3 linked regions of the Lepisosteus oculatus genome follow. The protein of the gene in region 1 interacts with the protein of each later gene in a pairwise test. Links are inferred from orthologs where the notes say so. Each region holds a gene or a part of one and is shown in the gene's direction. Other genes may lie near its edges.

Region 1 (7,212 bases):
AACACAAACCAGCAGGAGTGTGGGTCACCGGGGCAGGGACTGGGAACCACTGCCTCAGCCCCTGGGGCCCTTAGTTTACTGAGAAATACAAACAGAGGAGCTAGAGACGAGAGAAGATCATACAGCCTGTTTGGCTCCTTTGTTCAGAACTGATCTCATCCAGCCCATTCCTGAAAGCAACGAGAGTATCAGACCCAACAGCATGGGTTGGGCAGCTTGTTCCACACTCCCACCACCCTTTGTGAAAAGAAGTGCCTCCTGTTCTCAGCTTTGGATGCCCTTCCATGGAGTTTCCACTGGTGTGAACTCCTGGTGCGTGCCTCTCTGCTTATTCTGGAGAAAACCACTGGCTTTGACTCTGTCGGTGCCTCTGAGGATTGTGAATATTAGGTTCATGGTGCAAATCGACAAAGGCTGGGTTCCTTCAGCCTGTCAGTGCAGGACTTTCCCTTCAAGCCCTTGAATGTTTCTGGATTCTCTTCTCTGGACTGACTCCAGATACCTTTTCTACAACCTGGTGACCAGAATTGTCTGCGGTTATCTAAATGAAGTCTTCCTGGTGTGTTATACAATTCTAACATATATCTCTTGATTTAAATTCTAAAACAATGTGTTCTGATGTACTCTCTGTCCAACACAGCAGTGTTCTTATTCATTGCAGGGCTATCTCTAAGCACCTTCTTATTTTCTTATTAACTCTTTCTGCGAGAAAACGTTTTGAGACAGCCAGATGTTGTTGGGCAGTGAAAAAAAAACACCTTTAAAAATAAATCTACAAACGAAAAATAGACTGAAAAACAGAAATAAAAAATGATTTGCATAGTTCGGTTGACATGAGTCCCACACAGCACAGGGTCAGCGAGGGAGGGGACGAGGGCTGTGGGTTGTGATGGCTCTATTTCAGGCTTCTGCTTCAACCCCTGAAAACCGATGTGTCAAACAGAGAGAGAAACAGCTGGCCAGCTCCTCCACTGCCCCCACAAACACAGAAATGGCCTCCAGGCTCTGAGGACAGTCTCCCTGCTGGAGCACGGTGGACAAATTCACACTCTGAAGCAGGGGTCCCCAACCCAGGTCCTGCAGATCCCCAATCCAGTTATTCTTACTGGTCACCCGGATTCTCCTGTTATTTGAAGATGAGGAACATGTGTTTCAGCCACTGATCAACTAAGTGAGTGATGTTTGCATGAAGGGCACACTGTCCTTTGAAGGCTGATGGATGTCTTGATATTAATTCCAGATGAGCTCTAAGTTAATTAATTAATTGCTGAGAGCAAAGCACTGGAGCCCCTGTGCTGGTAGAGGCGTAGGGGAATTTGAGATCATTTGAGGTCATTTTGTGTCATTTCTGGAGTCTGGTGTGTATTGACCTAGAAAGCAGTAGTCTTTTAGCTATGCCAGGTGCAACTAGAATGAAAGCCCAAGGAGAGAGGATTGATAGCTTTCCAATGCATCCGGCATTCCCGCTGGACGCCTCTGTGACCGCACCTGCTGAGCTAAGGACCCCTATGCGTGCTTGTCAGCTCTCCGCTGCCTAGAGCTAGTCTCCCAGCTTCCAGACCCCTCTCTCAGACTGCTCCCTCCTCTTCACTTCAGAGTCACCCTCGAGCCAGTCCAGAAACTGCTGCCGGCCCGTAACGGATCCCAGTGCGCCCTCAGCAGATATCGTAGTGTCGCAGGCTGTCTTCCGGTTGTGCCCCAGTCTGGCCACAGTAAATGACATCACTAGTGCTCCGGACTAAGGTGCAGCATCTTCCAGGGTTTGGGTGCTCTTGGGGGTGAGAAGACAGTCCTGGGAAGAGTTGGTGGCAGTCACTGGAATCAAGCTGTGCATTGCTCATCTGAACATCACCAAGACACTCCAGAATGTGAGAAAGCAGCATGATGGGTCTGCACAGGAGGGAGTGAATATGAGGGACTGCAGTGAAGGAAATCGGGGTGCCCCAGTAAACTGGGGAGCTGTGGGGGGTGAGGGAATCCAGTCTGGCCTGCAATGGCATTGCCTGGTTGCCCACTGGAGCCCTGCTGCCTTCCTCTGTCTCTTCTCTCCCGCCATCTGTGCAGCTGGAGGCTGGAAAAAGAGGCCTGTTTCTCTCCAGCGCCCTGACAGCTGCTGACCACATGCTCTCCGGTTTGACGCCTTGGCTGGAGCCCCATTGTGCAACGCAGCAGGCTTCTGGTTTTCCGGACCTTCATGAAAAAAAGGCCACGCAGGCACGCTGAGGCACCGTTGTGTGTGCGCGTGGAGGGGGGCGGTGGTTTGGTTTATTCGTTTATCAGCACGGCAGACGGGTCGGGGTTTTTGAAAAAAAGAAATTCTGCCCTGCGGACAGGGTTATCTCGCGGGGCTCGGGAAGCGGCAGCGAATGAGGGCGAGAGATTAGCAACCACAGCCCCGGGCCCAGCGGACACACGGGCCCATCCGTTGGAGCCTGAATCCGTCTCTCCCTCTCCCGCTGTCTGTTACAGTTGCTGTGCGCTCATGGCCCCCGCTCCATCCCTTCCTACACCCCCTCCCCCAGCGGACGCAGTGACTCCGTCTCTCTCTCTCCTCCAGAGTGCTCTACACCCAGAGCCCCCGCCCCGCCGGGCTGGAAACAGCTGGGGGTCTTGTCTGGCCCCCGCTGCGCCAGGAGGAGGCCGCAGTGTGGTGTGGCTCTCGCCTCTCCTTGCAGAGAGCCAAAGAGGGGACAAGAGGGTCCAAGCCCATTAGACTCTGGGACAGGGGGGTATAATATGTCTAAAAGGGCCCAAAACAACTTAGCAGCTACTGTACAACCACCGCTGGAAAAAAAAAAGGTGTCATGTTTTTAGCTGGAAGTAGCTGGAATTCCATCAGGGAACTATTTGCAGGATTAATGGTGGCTGAAAATAAGCAAAGGGGATGTTGATGCGAAGCTGATGCATCAATGTCCCTGTGTGAGGGTCTTCTGGATGACCCCTGCAGGCCAGAGGTCAAGGTTCAAGGGTCAGGGTGGCCAAGTCTCTCTGCGGACAGAGTCGCTGGCTCTCGTGGGTTTTGTTCTGACTGGGCATAAGATGACTTTTAAAAGCATTCTGCTTCGATGTAGGATCTGGGCCAGGATTTTTCTGTCTGTGGGCAATATCCAGTTCAAATGCACGGACACGTCCAGGAGGGAGGGGAAGGGGAAGAATTAACAGTTCAAGAGCATGAAATGTTCTTGAAAGGAGGAAAATTTCCAAAGACCAATATGGTATTCAAGTTCTTAAATGTCTCCTCTAAACAAATAATAGAGAAGAAGAACACGAAAATGCAGAAGGGAGAAGGGCATATTTTCTTTTCCTCTATTTTTCCGAACAGACCTCTATTGCATCAGATATAGAGCTGTCTGGTACTTTTGTGTGCTTATAAGGGAACAAGGGCCTTTGTGTGGAGGGACTGTGGCCTGCCAGTCCAGTCCCCAAGCTCTAGTATGAGCTCATACCCACCCCCCCAGCTTCCTCACGCCCACTGCTGGCCTACCCGACCCCCCAGGCCTTATCACCACGCAGGGCCGGCTGCTCTCTGCTCTCCCTTCAAAGCCTGGCTATCTCTTCCATCGCAGTCCCGGCCTGTTCTCAGACTCCCTGCCTCTCATGGGCTGCTGTTGTGTAACAGTTACTGCTGGTAGGAGGCATTAGAGTTTGGGAGGGGGAGTGGGGGTGCTGCCCATCATCATGAGGTCTGCTCTGCCCTAACTTTGCACCAGGATGGGCTCTCCATTGCTCTATCCTGATGAAAAGCATGTTTATAGGCCCCTGCAGTGTAGAGGGACATTTCTGGCATTGTTACGATTAATACACAACAGACTGTAGCCACTAGATTGGTGATTAAGGCTTGTGGCGAATTCTGCTGCAGAGTTGCAGGATGTAGTTTGGGCGACATCTACCGACCGTTAGCGGAGCCAATTACAATTTGATTCGGACCTGTTTTTATTGGCTTGACGAAAAAAAATCCCGCCAAAAGCTTCACATTCGCAAAACTGAATGTGACAACACCCTATCGTTTATTTTGTAACAGTAATAAAAGCTGCCCCCCTTCCCAGTTATGTGACACCGTGATCCGCGTCTCCAAATACCGAGGAAAACGGTAGCATTGCGAAGGTGGGTGGTGTGACGTCATCAGCCTGCGCCCCGGTGGGTGTCTGTCTGAGGATGGAGAGCGGCTGAGCGCAGCGACTTTTGAATGAAGATTGAAGCATCTCGACAGTTCATCTGCGATTTGAAGAAAGCACACCTGTAAGCAATTCAAACTATAAAACAGTACACTGTTTCGGCTTTTCCGTAGGAGCGTAATAGAAAATGTCTCTCTTGGCGACAAATCGAGAACTAAAATGTGCAGTCAGTTCAGAAAAGGTCCACTTGAAGTAGCTTAATTAACTTCCCACTTAGCCGTTACAGTTTCTTTTCGAATACTGTTATTGATGATTGTCTTTATTTGGGTTACAACATGCACGTAAATATGTGGCTATTAGCCGCAATTTCAATCTATTTTTAATTATTTTAAAACTCGTGTGGCTTTGGCTACAGTAGTAAATGAGTACAGCAGTAACACCCCGGACTGGACTGTTTAAGATCGAGCGCTTTTGTGTTCCGCCTTACAGTAACGAATTTGAGAAGAATTCTACAGACATATTCAAGTTATTAATTCAGTAGGAAGAGTCACTTGTGCTGCCGTTGAGTGAACTTTATGTTCGGTTCTTTTGTAACGTGGCCAGACAGTGTAATTCAAACTCTGGGAATCTTTCAGAATGTTTATTTTCTGGTGGGAGCGTAATGTTGAAATAATAAATAAGTTTTTGTTTTTTAGCTAAACTCACAGACTGTCATGCAACTATAGGAAAGGAAATCCATGCTTTGCCTCAGAAACTAGAAACTACAAACTACAAACTGTTATACAACCCACGCAGAAATGACCCCCTATGAGTCATCAGTGTCAGTACGTGAGCTGCTGAATGAAAACCCTGTATAAATACTTTTAAATGCTCTGCAGTCTTTAACCAGTGCCTGAGGAAGTTTGTCCCAGCATGGATTCCATACCCAATCCCGAGGAGGCGGGGTCTCGTCGAGGCTCCTCCCACTCCCCCAAGTCACCAGGCTCCTCATCCAAGGTAGGTGGGCGTGGCACAGTCTGAGGAAGAGGTGTAACTCAGGGGAGCCCATCATTCTCTTAATAATTTCTCACACAGTGTTTATATAGCGCTTTTCTTGACACTTCACTCAAAGAGCTTTACAGGTAATGGGGATCCCTTCCACCCCCACCAGTGCGCCAGTCCACTCCCCACACAGCAGCTCTCAGAGGGGAGGAGAGCAGAGTGATGAAGCCAGTTCAGAGAGGGGGGTTATTAGAAGGCCATGATTGGTAAAGGCCAGGGGGAAATTTGGCCAGGACGCCAGGTTTACACCCGATCTCTTCAAGAAACGTCCTGGGATTTTTAATAACCAAAAAAACTCAGGACCTCGGCTTTACGTCTCATCCGAAGGACAGCGCCTTTTTACAGTATAGTGTTCCCGTCATGGATGGGGAGTTTTGTGCTTGATCATGTAACGGCTACTCTGCAGTTTCTCATTGTGGTGAGACAGGGCTGTGTAGAGTGCACAGTTACTAATTAATTCCGATGACAATTAGAATGTGAAGGTCAAACTGAGGGAGGTGGCTAGCAGGGGACTGTGTGGGGGCGTGTCTGTGTGAGCCCCTCTCATTGGCTCTCCCCTGTGCCCCTGCCCGACCCTGGCTGATGGATAGCTCTGCCCTTCCAGACGCTTGCTCATTAAACGCTCCGCTGCTGTAGAGGCACTCTGCCCCGAGACCTGGTGGCCGAGCCACGTCTGGCCCGGGAGGCAGGCCCAGGTAACTCCAGGACGGAGCTCTGCCGGAGAGGGAGTGTGTGAAGGCGGAGCAGGTGGAGAGGGCAGGGGGTGCACGAGGCCCAGGAATGAAGGCTGCACAAAGTACAGGTGGCTGAGAGCTTGACCCCTTTCCACGCAAAGCCCCTGAGAAAGATTTAAGGATTGAATGCTGTTTCTCGCTGACACAGGTGCCGGACTTGCCTTTTTCCCAGAATTTGGAAATGCTAGAGAATCTCCTGGTTTCTACCCTTGTAGAAATCGTTTCCTACAATCTCATAACGTATAGGTTTACAATAATGAATACAGTATCTTGTCAGATTGTGTTTGTCGCTTGGATCCAGTGACGTCTTTCTCCCCCCCAGGCTATCTGATACCTATGCCATGGTTTCATAGTTTCTGTAGGGGACACACGAGGGCTGGTGTTTGCGTTTAGAAAGAACAGTGTTCCGTGGGGATGCTCCACGGTTGAAAAAAGACGGCACAGTGGTCTAGTCATGTAAAAATAGCTTTCGGGCTTCTGCACGAGAAGGGCTCCAGTGCGCTTTCTCGCGTGCCGTGTGGTTGAAGCCGATACTGTGGGTTCTTTTAGAGAACAGCTGGATGAGATCCTGGGATCAATTAGTAACCGGACACAGTAACGCCGGCATTCCTCCTCATTTCTCTCCTTTGGTAAAGGCAAGTAATGCACCTAAAGTTGATGTGTTTATGTCATGTCAGTTACATTTTACGTTGTAATTACATTATATCAGGGCTCTTTGATGGGGTGAGGTTTCCACTTCGACCCCAGCGTACTTGAGCAGGAGATTCAGGCACTGAGAGCAGGAGCGGGTTTCTCTTGGACACAGAGAGGAGATCGTGGGGCAGACTGCTTGTCCGTATTGCTAATGTGGGACCGGACTTTGTGACCTCTCTGATCCTCTCCTGCAGTGGCAGCACTGCACTGAGGGTGGAGCTGAGGCCAGGTCCAGCCCTGCACCAGCTGCACCAGAGCACCAGTGCGTCACTGGGCACGGTGCCAGTCATAGCCCTCGGCGCTGTAGCTGTGTTAATTTTTAAATGTCATTTGGCTGTGGTGCACTAAGCCGGAGGGGCAGGGGCGTGTAGCTCAGGTGTGTGTCTGAGACGGAGCTGTTTAAAGACGCTGTGATCTGGCTCCACACTCCACACTCTGCTCTCGCCCTGTACCGCCTGCGGACCAGCGGAGATACCAGCCCTGCACTTCGGTCAGCCATCCAACTCTGTTCAGTCTTTTCTTTTTCTTTGCATTTTTTCAGCTTCATTTGACTTTTTTCCCCTTTCATTTTTCCTGCTTGTTTTTTTTATTTCGATACATTTAGTTCAGTGCTCATTCTGTTCATCTGT
Region 2 (7,313 bases), on another chromosome or scaffold:
ACATGTTATTTATGTACATGTTATTATGTTATTTATGTTATGTTATTACATGTTACTGTTATTGCTATTGTGTAACTGTCTATTGTCTTATCTTCTGTCCTATTTATATACTGCACCTGAGTGACTAATGAGAAACACTTTTCATTATACTATGCACCTGTGTAAGTTTAATGACAATAAAGTTGAATGGAATTGAATTGAAGCCAGCCTGTGCCCAGCTCTAGGGCTGTACAGGCACCTGCACAGGTGGACTGTGTTTCTGAAGCATGTCAATCTTGCACAACCTGAAGGGATTTCTTCCTGGGATCGAAGGGGTGGTTTAAACTCTTTCTGCATCCTCACAGATGAGGTGTAACTGATTTCCCTTATTTCTAAATGCCTTCTTCCAAAACCCCCCTGTCCATTTTATTTGTCCTTTGCCCCTTGAAAGAGCTGTTAGGTCACTCGTTTTACCTTTAAGGAAATATAGTTTTAGAAATTAAAATACATTTTTAGCCCATGCTGCGATTCTTTATGGGATGGATGGGTGTCTTGATGTGCATCAGAAAATATGGATTTTTGTAGGGTCGGTCACCCGGGGGAACTCTGGGTATTCATCCTGGGGTAAAGCTTTTCATAACTCCTACAGTATGAGATGCTTTTTCCTATTATGTGCCTGAAAATGTGCACGTTTCCTGTGGCAGATCGAGCCAGAGTGCAGGGGATTCATAGGAGTGAGTTATGCAAAATGTAATAAAGCAGTTTTATCATTTGCATTGTGTTTCTGAATATATTATGATAGCCAGAGATTCTCAAGGTTTCCTGTTATTAATGCTTCTGCTTCGCTACACGCTCATCCATTAAACAGGCTCTGACTCTCCCGCTGAAATTATAAACATCCACCTTCACAGAGCTGGCTTATAAACTACAGTAATTCTGTGTAGTTAATTTTTGTATTCTGAAAATATACAATGTTTAATTGACGGTTTGAGAGAGGTACGGTCTAAGCAGCACTCTATTAAAAAGCTATTGCGCTAAAATTAAATTTGTTATTACGTTAATCAAGTCTGGACACGTGGGGTGCACTTACTAAAACCCTATTAAATATGACTTCTTCCTTTGATATTTTGATAATCACCCACACGTTACATTATTAAAAGCACATTAAATTAAACATTTAATGTGTCTTAATAATAAAAGGCCAGTATCCGAATCATCATAGTTTTCAACACGGTATGAAATCTGCATCGTCCTTTACTCTTTTCTTGACCCCAGAGGTACTCAAAGGCTCCCCCGTCTGGATTAGGGACGGCATTACAACAACGCGATCTGACTGCAAGTTTTAATAGCTGCGGAGGGCGTTTCATTTGACACACAAGTACACGCACACATGGCCTTCGAATGTCAGACAGGACCCTAAAAAAATCTACCTCTTTTGGCTGCCAGGCCAGTGGGTCACTTTGATGAGAGTAATTTTACCCTTCAATGTGTAACCTCTTCCTCCTCCTTTCTAAATAATAAATATAATTAAAATAATTACACGTTGAAAGTACACCAGCAGACGGCAGTGGGTTTGAAAAGCACGGGATAACAGAACAATGCTCTCTTATTTTAAACACAAAACTGTTTAATTAAAAACCGAACTGAAAACTAAAGAAAACTAAATTATCTATATTATAAATAGTAGACCCACATTCCAGCGCTGAACAAAACATTAGTTCAAATATGAGTTACCACCCTCAGAACAGTCGGCAGGAACCCTTGCATGCAAATCTATAATATTTTCTGGTGTTAGAGCAAATAATCTAACTACACAAACAAAACAAAAAAAAAACATTAACATCTGTGCCCAAGTGATTAGTAAGTATTTTCCAGCCAGCACTAGCCTGGCTGAAGCACAAATGTTGCTAAATTGAAATGATAACTCAAGTCAAGTCTCACTGTTCACTCTCGCGGTGTAAAGTACTGCACCGTGACTGTCCACACAGCACATTGTTCTTTAAGGTACAAAATCTTTTATTTTTGTTTAAAGGCAATTCCAGTCATAGTGCGAAACACAAACTTAGACAATGATGGATAATGTTATTTCCTCCCTGAAGCTGAGGTTGTTTTTTTTAATTATAATTCCAAGAATAAGAAGATACGAATACAAGAAAGACTGCAAATGAGAGGAGGTAGGTAGCATCTGATCTAGGGATCTCACAAATTCCACAATATTATAATCATCATCATCATCATCTTTTGAGAGTCTATGTCTTTGTGCCCTGTGATAGTCTAGGGTGTATGCTGCTTTGTGCCAGTTGCTTGCCAGAATAATAGTAATCCTTAGATTTATATAGTGCCTTTCCAGACACTGCACTCAATCATCATATCATCATCACCTTCATCACAGACCCCATGTGAAGTTCATCCACAAGCGAAGTGTAGCCCTCACCAAGCAGGACACTGGGAGTGCCACAGCACTGTAGTGGGAACTCTGCTGACCACATAGCCAGACACTCAGCTGAACATCTCATCCAAGGGACAGCATCTCCTACAGCACAATGTCCCTGGTTTACATTTCTGGGGACCAGAATTTGAATTGGACATTCGAATCCAAACAGAAGAACACCACCTAATGTTCCACACACAAAAACACACACTTGCAGCAATTGAAACTAGAAGGTTAAAAGTTTATTTAAAATCTCGTATTGGTATTTTACATATTTATTTTGCCTTTCATGAACAACAGTTACAGGTCCCCCAGCTGAATACTGACCAGGTTCAGCCTTACTTACAGTACCTTCTAACATCTGAAAAGAGTTGTTTTTTAGATGTTTTACTAATATTTTGATTTCAACACAAATGAGATTTTTAAGAATGCTAAGAAATGCAACTAGTGTAAAAAGAAAGAGACTTAATTTACCTTCTTCTTTGGAATCTTTATAATAAAAGTTCATCTGCTACATACTGTATGCTCTGTATTTATTACATGTATCTAACGATATGTTTCTGAGCATGATTTATGCATATGCAGCAGAAACATGCAACTGCTTGTGCTAAATTTTCTGAAATGCAAACAAACTGTCTTCTCATGCTGAATGTCTTCTGTAAGTCATTTTAGGATTATCGTGGATGTTAACACTCATGATACTGCAGAGGGTTAGGCCAGCCAAAAGGCAGAGTTTGGGCCAGATGTTCCAGCATATTGTGATTCAAAGCTGTGTGTATCCCCCTGGCAGGGACTGAATGGCAGGTGATGGTGAGAATTATTGGGAAGACAAGTTTCTGGGATTTTAAGGACACAAGTGAGCCTAATGCCAGTGGCTTATCTTTTGTGGTTTCTTCCACTAAATCTTTTTCATGTTTCTGAAGAGAGGAACCTGGAATCACTTACTAGTGGTCTGAACAACTTACCAACAAAGGACACAACACAAAAACAATTGGAGAGTGACACCAATTGGACTTCCTGTACACACGCAGATACACCGTGCATAATAAATGCGAAATCAGCAGGACTTGCCTTGTAGGAATATAAGAGAAGTACAAAAGAAGCACTTTTGTAAAGAATTATAAGTAATATAAAAGAATCGTAAGTGGGTTTAAAAATCCACCTGTGTACTTAGTGTCATATACGAACTATTATGGAAAATTGCGTTTGGCTTGATTACAGCCGTCAGTATAAATAGTTTAATTTAAATTTGTTCTAAATAGTCCACCGTGCTCGTTGTTTCACTTTTGCAATCAATTTCTAATAACTGTTACACGTAGGACTCTTACTTTAGTATGGCTTATGATATCTTAACCCATAAAGGTGTTCTTTGAAATCGTCCTTCTTCCGTGATAAGACAACGTTTTTTTGTTTAATCTATTACTGTATTTATCAGAAAGTTTTTTAAAGGTCAAATAATGCGCTTCTTAAATGCTACGTTCCGATTATTCCAAGTCTGGGAAACAAAATTTTATCTCTGATAATAGTATTATTAGAAAACACTACCAGGTTGACGCCAGAGAACCCAAGAAAATACCACATTAAATCGCGCCGACAGTTGCGCGTTCACCTGACTCGGTTCTGCCTTTGAGACAGGTGTTTGCGCTGAATAAAACAGCAATTTTTGGGAAGGCCTGAAGACCCAATGGGAGCGCAGGAAGGCGTGGTTAAAGGCGGGGACCAATTGTACCGGCCGCCTTTGGAGCCAATGCACCGGGCGATGGGCGGGGAAACTCCCTCAGGGGGGCGTGTCTCCAGCTTTCGAGCGGACGCTGTGTGCTGAACTCTGCAGAGAGTAATGGCATGAGCTTAGCACTGCAATCAGGGCAAGCTACTGTATACCACGCTGTGGAAAGTACATTACTACTGTGCGAACTTCGGCAAATCTTTTCAAGGCACAAACAGGACTAAGACACACCTGGAGGAGACATATTTACGTTTCAAACCGTGCATCGAAACCCTGTCATCAGCTCAAGATTTCTTTTGTCCATTAAAAAATAAATAAATAAACGGGATATGTTGCTGGACATGTGAATTTAAGGAGTAACTGCTACCCCCCAAAAAAATGAAGCCAACCACTCTGTACTGCTTCGGCTTGCTGTTCAGTTTTGTGATCGTCAGGATCAGCTCATCGCAGTCAGGTGGGTAGGATATATTTGTTCTCGTATCGTGCGCAAGGTGTATTGTTAAATGTCATGCTCCAGCGTGTGTTGTTATTGGGCTGTGAGGTACTGTTGTTTCTCACTAGTCGGGCTAGTAGTTTCTGCGCCGTGTGGACTCTACAGTTGCTGGTAACGCTGGTCACAGTCTATTTCTCACAATCGCCAAATGTGTGATATTGTACATTGTGGACCACAAGTTATGAACGGAATGACAGTCAGTAAATGAGAGCAGGAATGTGTTGTTTTTAAGGCTCTTTCGGCTCCGACACTCCTCTTTCACTACGATGTCGATCTTGATACTGTTTATGCTGTACCTGTTTTTGAGAGACTGCGGGGTTGTGCTATCGCGCCTTGATTATTAGGGGTATGTTAAAGTGCGTCTCGGAGACTCAAGAGAATCAGGATTTTTGGTTTTTTAGAGAATTGGACATGGAGTTCACGCCGCACGTGTCCCGGACACACCGGAGAACTATTGTCCACTCACTCACGTTTTCCCACCGTGTTTTTTCGTCCCTTGAGCAAAAAGAGGCTTAACCAGTTCGTTTGTGTTTCTTCCCGCTGCCTTCTTGAGCGATTGCACCTGACCTACCGCCTTTCCCGTCGTCAGTGATTTAAAAAATGCCAGCAATTTAAGAAGGACGAATGGAGGTGCTATAAATACGCGATTTTAATAATCGATGCGGTGTTGACGATTTAAATATCTGCGGACTACTATCAGCATCCTTAACGCCGTTTGGTGTTTTACTAGAATTTAGATATTCTTCACATTGTATGGCATCTTCAGATGTTGTTCGTTGTCATATGGTTAATCTGCGTAATGAAACGTAAACATGTATAAAGAACATCTAATTAGTCGTTAACGCCAGTTATTATTATTAATAATTATTAGCTCATAGCTGTCTCGCGTTTCGATTGACGAAGCTATAGTTCCCGTTCAAAGACACCGAGCCTCGACTTGCGCATCTGAAACATTATTTACAGAGCACAACAAAAACTTCTTCGTTCTTTGGGTGTTCAATGGTGTTTATGAGAAGTAAATAAACTAAATTTCGGAAGTAATGTGGCAGTCTGTTCATAACATAATGAACAGATTGGGAAACATTCGAAGTACCCACACAGGACCTGTAACATGCGAGTAATAACTACTGTACATTTTTTTAAATAAATTAGCAAGTAATCGACTAATTAGCACTCATTACTAATTACTCATTTAATGGTTTTGCACCTGAGTGGTGACATATAGTATCTTACGCGTCTCCAAACGTTTGGGATCACAAAGGGTTTTGATACCTTGTTCTGTATTTTCTTTACTGTAGTCTCTGTAGGCACAATAAAATGCACCGTCTGTGCCATATGAAACAGAATTTGGCTGACTGTTAGCTTGGTCTATTGGAGGACCGGGCATTATTACGCTGCAAGAGATCGGGCTGTGCTGTTTAAACAAGTTGAGATATAGTTTTGATTGCTTGGGAGAAACAACCGCATCTCCACACGGTGGTGGTATGATCCGGAGACTCGCAGTCCTTTCGCGCTGTGTACAATCTGAACTCTGCAGCCTGTGGCGTCTCTTGTCTTATACTGTATGTTTCGCAGCTGATAGGATTCAGGCTAAAGGGCAGCCGAGCCTCGCTGAGAGTCATAGGTGTGTGTTTCCCTTGAGATCGTGCGCCGGAGGGTTATTCGCGAATGTGTGTAACTGCAAGGTGTGGAAATCTTGCGTGGGTCAGAAAGTGGAGAAGTTTCAGGTTCTAGCGAAAAGTGCGTCTTACTCACTTCTCAGACAGTGGCATATACCTGTTCATAATTCTCCCTTATACTCATCTATCTACATTATTATGCAAAGGTGTACTGTATATCTGTATTCAAAACATTCCTCGGAGAACTTCTAGAAAGGAGTTCTTCAATACTTCAGTGAGATTTTGCATCCGTTTACTGTACGTTCAATATTACGAGTTAGCGTTCCGTTGTCTCAAGAATTGTTTAATGAAAAGTAGGCGAGGCGTTCTCCTTTTAATTAAATGGCAGTTCTGCTGTTTCACCCCCTCACGAAAAACAAATCCTCACATTAAGCGAACGTCCTTTTAAAGCGTACTGAACTCTAGAAATGGGTTACAAACGTTGTTAATGATAATAGTGATACTATACTTTTAGCCAAGGACATATTCTGCACGTGTACAATTGGAGCCTTGGTACGTGGTTCATTAGAAATCTCTCCCAAGTCCGCAGCAGGCTCTTTCGGTGTTGTGACTGTCCCTGGACTAAACAGGACTTCACTGTCATAAAGGACATGAGATGACGGGTAACACATTTACAAGTGCCCTTTCGTCTTCTTTATTAATGTTCAGTTCATAAACTGAAACACAGATAATCTTCGGGATTCCCTGAATTGCTTCTAACTTTATGATTACATTATGATGGGTACTGTTTTAGTAGTGACAGGAAAAATCCATAGACTCAGACGTCTGGGTCTTTCCTTACGTTGATTTAATGCGTTCAAGGCACATCACCCCAGGTCTGGCACGTCTTCGCTGGCTCCCCATCACACACCGCATTCGGTTCAAATGTTTACTCTTAACTTATTAAGCCCTACACACCGAATGCCTGCATTGCTTAGCATCTCTCGTTACTCCCCATGTACCAAGCAGGGCTCCTGTTCAGTACTGTACCTTCTGAGAGGCACGAGGGTCTCGGGGCGCGCGCGT
Region 3 (7,966 bases), on another chromosome or scaffold:
TATTAAAGTATTAAGATGGATATGTTATTATTCTGATTTCTGTACTGGAAAATCTGATAACATTCTAAAATCTGGACTATTAGAGGCATCACAGCAATATGTACCTTGATGAAACAGAATCACCTGAAAAACGTAGAAGATTTATCACCTAGATAAATAGCCTAGAATTTAAAGCAAAGAAACAAGTGATAGATTATAGATTTATAGCCTAGAAATAAGAGTTCTACAGATACTTCCAAATTAGGCACTAAATAGATAGTTGGGTATAACAACCAAATACAGAGCAAAGTAGTAAACTGCTTGATCATTTTATAGCTTTGTACAAGCAAAGCAACCAGAAGAAAATAATCTCAAAACTATAATAACATTGAAGGTATGAAAAACGATTAAATTAATTATATTAAAATATAGTGGGGAAAAAGAAAATGATAAGACAGTTTCCGCAGAACAGTGGAAGAACAGATTTCAACTAAGCTCCACCAGTTTACAAGTTTGGAGAAATTGCTGTTGAAAACATTAGATTCGGTTTTTTAATAGTCTTAAAATTCCAGCAAAACAAAAAGGAAGCTATTCACGATGTTGGATGTTAAGTGGAGAACAAGTTGCAACTTATTCAAACACATTCTGGTCATTCATGAAAAAACAACAATATTGGAAATTCATATACTGTATTTTGTGCTTACTAATATAGTAAATCTACAAATACCCTTTGAATTATCTGTTATGTATTTTGGTACTTTTACTTCTGACTACATGGAATTAAAGGATGGATATATACTAGGAATTATTTTAGCTGCTAGTAAGAACACTATCACTAGAAAGTGGTTTATTAAAGAACTCCCAACAGTGCTGTGAAGGAGATAATTCTATAAGGGAAATATAATGGAAAAGATCATCTTTTCTTTTAGGTTAGAAGCAGAAAGGTTTGGCTAATACTGGCAGGCCTGGATTGGGCTGAGGTCCCATTGTGACTTGATTTTGTTCTGTGAAAGAAGATGAAACAGCGTTTTATTTTTGCTGATTATATGTACTGTAACCTCCCATCAATGCTGGCATAACGTTATATAAATTAATAGAAATAATATTACATAAGAATATAATTAATTCATTGATTGGTTAATTAATAGTTAATTAAGTAATTAGTTAATAAGTTTAATGAGTTATTATATAAAATGAACTTGCACTACTTTGTATTGTACATGTTGTATTTGTAAATTCTTTAATTGTTAAATAAAAAGTTTAACAAACAGTTGAAGGTCACGTGAAATAAGACAAGCACAGTGTATCAAGCTAGGTTAATCGACTACAGCGTTTCCAGTGCTAGTTATGTGCAGTACCTAATGGAGACCACAAGAGGGCATCCTTGATTAAACGTCTTCTCTGCGCTCGGAAATCGCCGGCAGGGTCGCTTGTAAGGTCTCTGAAAATTAGTCAGTTCTTCAGTAGGGGTAGCACCCCGAGCGAGTGAGCTGGCATCAGTCTTGAATGGTGTATTCTGTTCCCTGTTCTCCACCGTTTCTCTGCAGCTTCCATTGTGTGGGCCTTTGTGTGTGTTTGAGCGCTGACTTACTGAATCTGTTTTGTCTTTCCCTTATAATTATCTCGATCTGGCGAATTCGGTGATCTGAAAATTACAGCTTTGAGCAGGTAAATCAGTGCGGCCCATTCGGGGCCTGTTTTTCACGACGCTTCAATCATTACTACAGGCTGTCGGACCTGCCGGAATTTCGAGTTTTGAACCAGTTCTGCGGCTTAGAAACACGCGAAACAATGAGAGCAACACTCCCCGCTATGAAAAACATGAGTCCTGTTTGTGCGCCTCGGGAACAGCGAGGAGGGGCGTGTTGATGATCTCTGTTCCGCATTGTTTAGTCCGTCTGAGTCCAGATTCCTGTACATACAGAGTGAGACAGAGAGTGAGACAAAGTGAGTGCACAACTAGCAGAGAGAGACAGAGAGTGAGACAGAGTGAGTGTACAGCTAGCAGAGAGTGAGACAGAGTGAGTGCACGGCTAGCAGAGAGTGAGACAGGAGTGCATAGCTAGCAGACTGAGAGTGAGACAACGGAGTGCACAGCTAGCAGACAGAGAGTGAGACAGTGAGTGCACAGCTAGCAGGGAGTCCACAGCTAGCAGAGTGAGACAGGAGTGCACGGCTAGCAGAGAGTGAGACAGAGCAGTGCATAGCTAGCAGACTGTGAGACAAAGAAGTGCACAGCTAGCACACTGAGAGAGTGGGACAGAGAGTGAGTGAACAGCTAGCAGAGTGAGACAGAGTGAGTGCACAGCTAGCAGGGAGTCCACAGCTAGCAGAGTGAGACAGAGAGTGAGTGCACAGCTAGCAGGGTGTGACACAGAGTGAGAGTGCTCAGCTCACTGAATGTGAAACAGGTAGTATTCTGAGATTAGACAAATATTCTTCCCCACAAACAACAATCCTAATCCCTGAATTCCCACCCCTGCCAGAATCAGAACAGCTCCCAGTCCCACTGGAGGAGGAACAGAGAGCCTCTCCACAGTAACAGGAATGTTCTGTTGTGAGTGGCTGTGAATGTTTTGCTAGTTATTGCCTTCCCAGCATCCAACAGCAATGCAAGGGCCAGGCCCAGAACACCCTTGGAATTCGAATCCGAGTGCACACCTGAGCTGTGGCCTCACTCCATTGCCTGCAGTTTTCTTACAGGGTGGGTCTGACCCTTTTAAACACACAGACACTTTGAACAGCCTGTTCTGATAGGGCCTTGTTTGCTGAGCGTCTCTTTTGAGAAGGCTTTGACCACGAATCTGGGGTTTAGAGGGCTCTGACTGTGCAGCCCTGTAACTGGGCTCTTCACTATCTGTAGGCGTCTGTCTTCAACCTACAGGTCGTCGACATTTGGGCTAATTAAGCCAACAGCAGATTTATTTAAATATTTGAGTAGTTTGAAATAAAACCCGGAAGATTCCCTAACGCCCAGGACCCGTTAAAGACCCTAATATGCGCTTTACCGGGTTTCTAAGATGCGCCAGAAATTCCCCGGTTATAAAGGAGCTCCTTCCATCCAGAGACCTGTTGCCTTTTACACCCGACTTTTACCGAAATAGGGATTTTTCTCAACCCGGCCTGCAGGAAGGGAGGCGGATGAGAGCAGAGCCGAGTCTCCTCTCTCCCTGACGAGAGGCGCGTCCGGCTGCAGATCAGAGGCCCGGCGCGCCGAGACAATGCGGCCGTTGTTGCCGGACAATCTGTCCCCATCAAAGCCGGGGTGATTAAGTCGCGGCTAGCGGGAGAAAGGCACAATGGTTCTCTCACGGAGACCAGCGGCCCCTCCGAGTCGATATAAATATCCCCTCACATAAAAGCAGCACGACAGAAAGATGTCCCATTGGTGGAAACACGCAACTTCACTCAAAGTGCCCATCGCCCCCCGGAGGGTCCCTAAGCTCTGCCCTTTCGGAGCAGGCGCTACGGGCCCGGGTCTATTACCCTGAAAATAAGGGTATCACTGCGACCCGGTGTGTTTGAGCGGAGCGGCGTCTGGCTGGCGGGACCGGCGGGCGCAGAGACATCCCACTCTCGGCCACTGACCTGGTCGGAGAGGTCATTTTGCTCTTTTGCTGCCATCCTCACTAAAGCGCACCAGCGCCTTCACGTCCCGAAACAGTTCCGGGAGTGGGGGATGAGCAAGACTACCCTCACCAATTTCTACCCTAATACGGTTCAGAGTGTCCTGGCCGGTGGTATTGCGGTGTGGTACGGTGGAGCCACAGTACAGGACAGAAAAGCCATACAGAGGGCTGAGAGGTCCGCGCAGAAAATCCCTGGGACCGGATATATCTCGACCGCAGCCGGGCTCGAGCTATACTTCGGCACCCAGTTCACCCTGGCCACGGTCTGTTTTCACCCCTGGGTTCCGGTAGGAGGTATCGCAGTATCAGAACACTGACCAATATATTCAAAAAACAGTTTCCTCCCCCCCAAGCAGTCCGCATCTTAAACACCTCAAAGTAGCACCTGCACTTTAAGGTACTGCGCTGTTTGCGCTATGTCCTGCCTTGGCTGTATTATAACGTCTATTTTCTCAATGTATTGTCCGTGTTTGTCATTTCTGCCTATTGGTTTTTCCTCCACAGCTGAACGAGTAAGCGTTCCAATCCACTTGTTGTATCTGGCAAATACTAATCTTGAATCTTGAATCAAGGGAACCCGAGAGTGATGACTTTTGCCGTCATTTCCAAAAAAAAAACAACAACAAAAAGACACTTCATTTGATTACTCCCTGTGACATATATATATATATTTTAAATCGCCTACACCTTTGTTTTGTAGCCTCACAGCCCGACGGACCCTGCCCGCCGCCTCAGCCACGATTCGCAGCGCTCCCACGACGCTGGTGCCGATTGGCGGCTCGGGGCAGCGGCCCGTCCAATCAGCGCCCCGGCTGCGCTGTTTTATACTAAGGGAGTGGAGCGGGGGTGTCGCGCTTCACAACTTTCTGGATCAGCTTGTGGCGGATCGCCTCGGACCGCCGCGCCGAGGAGTCACCGGGAAGTCCGTCGTTACTATTACTGCCCGCACTCGGATCTGTTGTTGTTGTTGCTGCTGCTGCTGTTTCTCACCCCTGTCAGTCTGGGGTTACCAGGTGACACACGTGAGAGAACCTGCCTGCCGCCGTCAGTCTGGAACCGAAACCAGTTCAGGTGGATTGAGGGTTTTCCGCTGTTCTCTCAGGCTGCGAGGCAGGCACACCTGGAGACGGGCACATAGATACTACGGGGAACAAAGAATACACCAGGAAGCTAAAAGCGGATAACTCTTGGAATTCGGTCTGGGAACGCACTTTGCGAGCCTGGGATCTAGAAGGGACGGGAGAGGGGAAGAGGGAGTCGGGACACAGCGTCTGTTCCGGCTCGACATGCACCCCTGACCCGCCCGGCCCGGCCACTCCGCTGCAGTCCAGTCCAGTCCAGTCCGGGCGGATGGCGCTCTGCCGGCAGGTGCTCGCAGTGTGCCTGGCGCTGCTGTGGACCGGACAGCCCGCTCGCCCGCAGTCCCACGAAGGTAAGAGACCTGCCGTCCCGCACGTCCTCGTGCCCCCCCCCCCCGCTGCTCTGCGCTCCGCTCCGCGTGCCGGCTCTGTGATTTAGTAGCGCTGGAACCCACACTTCCTCGTGCGGTCCGCATCCACCTGCCGCCCCCTCCCGGGGGTGACCTGGCCCCCTCCCGCAAAGGGGAATGACTCGGGGGACAGAGCCAGGCGTCAAAATCTCTCTTCAGTGACACAACACTTGACCTTTCTAGCAAAAAAAGAAGGACGCGTGTTCCCCGGAGGTGGGTGCTCTGCCGTTCCCGTCGTGGCTGATAATGTTCCGGGAATGGCGACCGGTAAAGTCCGTGAGTCGTCAGCGGGCCCGGCTGGCTTGGTGTGTGCTCTGTGTTGTGCCGGGTGAGGCAGCCGGGCTGCGGGACAGGCTGACGAGGCGCTGCCGGGGGGTTCCCTTGAGCCCCGGGTTTGACAGTTCCCCGGGAGCTCCTGAGCCGTCACTGCCCGCCCCGCGTCCTCGGGGGGACCTCTGTCTGACTCGGTATGCGAGGAGGTCTGACAGCCGTGGCCTTTGTACACGTAAACCCACTGAGAGGTCACTGACACTGGGGTCACTGACAGAAGGGCTGACGGACGGAGGGACACCCCACTCTCAGACGATAGAGAACCGGGGGCCCGTGTGTCCACATGAACATGGGTCTCGGAGAACTCGTGACGGATCCTTCCACTCGCTCGGTAAACCTCTGGAGCTATCGTGTGTGAGAGCTGTCTGGATTTCAGCCCATCGGTGTGTCTGTGTGTTTATCAGTGTGTTACTGTGTGTGGTTCATCAGTATGTGTGTGTGTTTATCATTGTGTGTGTCTATCAGAGTGAGTGTGTGTATCAATGTGTGTGTCTGTAAGAGTGTTTATCTGTGTGTCTATCAGAGTGAGTGTGTGTATCAGTGTGTGTGTCTATCAGAGTGAGTGTGTGTATCAATGTGTGTGTCTATAAGAGTGTGTTTATCTGTGTGTCTATCAGAGTGAGTGTGTGTATCAGAGTGAGTGTGTCTATCAGAGTGAGTTTGTGTATCCGCGTGTGTGTCTATCAGAGTGAGTTTGTCTACCAGAGAGAGTGTCTACCAGAGAGAGTGTCTACCAGAGAGAGTGTCTATCAGAGAGAGTGTCTACCAGAGAGAGTGTCTATCAGTGTGTGTCTATCAGAGAGAGTGTCTATCAGTGTGTGTGTGTCTATCTATCAGAGAGAGTGTCTATCAGTGTGTGTGTGTATCAGTGAGTGTGTGTATCAGAGTGAGTGTGTGTGTCTATCAGAGTGAGTTTGTGTATCAGTGTGTGTGTCTATCAGTGAATGTGTCTATCAGAGAGAGTGTGTCTATCAGAGTGAGTGTGTATCAGTGAGTGTGTATCAGTGTGTCTATCTATCAGAGTGAGTGTGTGTATCAGTGTGTGTGTCTATCTATCAGAGTGAGTGTGTGTATCAGTGTGTGTGTCTATCAGAGTGAGTGTGTGTCTATCACTGTGTGTGTCTATCTATCAGAGTGAGTGTGTGTATCACTGTGTGTGTCTATCAGTGAGCGTGTGTATCACTGTGTGTGTCTATCTATCAGAGTGAGTGTGTGTATCACTGTGTGTGTCTATCTATCAGAGTGAGTGTGTGTATCAGTGTGTGTGCTCAGCAGTGACAGACCTGTTCCCTGGCTCAGCCTGTTTGCTCTGCTGCACCTGCAGGGCACATTCTTGCTGGCCTTCTCAGGCCTCCTGCCTGTGCTGAGGGGCCGATGGCCCAGCCAGTCCCCAGGCCCCTTCACTCTTCACAGCCTGCAGAGACGGAAGGTGTGTCTGGTTCCCGGCGAACTCGCAGGCAGTGTGGAGGGCAGACTATCTGGGGCCCTTCTGCGTGACTCAGCCTGGGTGGGGGCAGCAGCAGATTAATGAAGCCACAGCAATCGACTGTAGCCACTCCCTCAGCCTGGCCGAGTTTCCGGTCCGACAACTCCCAGCAACGGCCTCGCAGCGTCTGAGCAGCCCCCCCACGAGCCTGTGCGGGAGTCGGGGTTCAAGTCCTGTCCCTCACTGGGAATGTTGTCCGAACCACACCAAAATCTCCTGGCTGAGCTGCCACCGCGAGAGGCCTAGCCTCAGGAGAGGAGGTCACAGGTCAAACAGGGCCCCAGATATCAGTGACCACTGCAGACAGTGGTCAGTATGGGGGCGCCTCTCCCTCCTACTACCGAGAGAGGGGTGACGCTGGCTGCCCCGGGGCACTCTGGGAAGGTTCAGCAGGGCAGGTGTGGTGTTTGGATGTGTTAGGCTGTGCTAGGATGGCCAGTCCTAGCAGAGGTGGGTCCGAGACGGGGCGCGGAATCTGGGGTCCGACTGCCTACACGACACCTCCCTTGCTGAGCCTTCCCAGAGTGCCCTGGGGCAGGCAGCATCACCCCTCTCTCTCCAGCAGAAAGGAGAGACACCCCCATACTGACCACCGTCTGCCCTGGGAGAGACAGCCTGTGTTTTAGTCCGAGTAAGGATGGTGGCAACGCATTACGATTGCCGTGTGTGTGTTGACCCACATTCACACCTGCTCAGAGCATTATTGGGAAACAGGGACTGATGGTTTTCTATCCTTCTGCTTTTTAATAATGTAGTTTATGAATCTGTGTGTTGGAGGAATATGAACACTGAAACCTCGGCCTCTCTGCCTCTCGGGACCTTGTCCAGAGGGGTGCAGTGGGTACTCAGGGGTACTCTGGGAGTACCTTGGAGTGAGAGGCTGAGATTGTTCATGCCTGGCTCTTCATCTGGTGACAGGGCTGTTATTCCTGTCATAAAAATCTTATAGCCGCCTGCTGTAAAACTTTACTGCAGGGCTTATGTGCTGAAGTTCTGCTGGCTGCAGAATCCCCTCCTGCTGTACAGCAGAGCCAGTGTCAGGAGAGGAGGCAA

What was found.
Region 2: the proteins of hdac6 (region 1) and receptor tyrosine-protein kinase erbB-4 interact in a protein complementation assay, tested with the Homo sapiens proteins (2 studies listed by BioGRID and IntAct, with this or other methods). The link is inferred for Lepisosteus oculatus from reciprocal best matches to the Homo sapiens genes HDAC6 and ERBB4.
Region 3: the proteins of hdac6 (region 1) and receptor tyrosine-protein kinase erbB-3 interact in a protein complementation assay, tested with the Homo sapiens proteins (2 studies listed by BioGRID and IntAct, with this or other methods). The link is inferred for Lepisosteus oculatus from reciprocal best matches to the Homo sapiens genes HDAC6 and ERBB3.

What each region holds. Positions count from the first base shown.
Region 1 is NC_090697.1:75,338,573-75,345,784, reverse strand, and holds the start of hdac6 (histone deacetylase 6), read left to right. Parts: upstream 1-4,123; 5' UTR 4,124-4,239; intron 4,240-4,993; 5' UTR 4,994-5,027; coding exon 5,028-5,111; intron 5,112-7,212.
Region 2 is NC_090707.1:8,562,739-8,570,051, forward strand, and holds the start of receptor tyrosine-protein kinase erbB-4, read left to right. Parts: upstream 1-4,233; 5' UTR 4,234-4,514; coding exon 4,515-4,590; intron 4,591-7,313. UniProt on the Homo sapiens protein: Tyrosine-protein kinase that plays an essential role as cell surface receptor for neuregulins and EGF family members and regulates development of the heart, the central nervous system and the mammary gland, gene transcription, cell proliferation, differentiation, migration and apoptosis.
Region 3 is NC_090696.1:14,628,155-14,636,120, forward strand, and holds the start of receptor tyrosine-protein kinase erbB-3, read left to right. Parts: upstream 1-4,950; 5' UTR 4,951-4,958; coding exon 4,959-5,040; intron 5,041-7,966. UniProt on the Homo sapiens protein: Tyrosine-protein kinase that plays an essential role as cell surface receptor for neuregulins.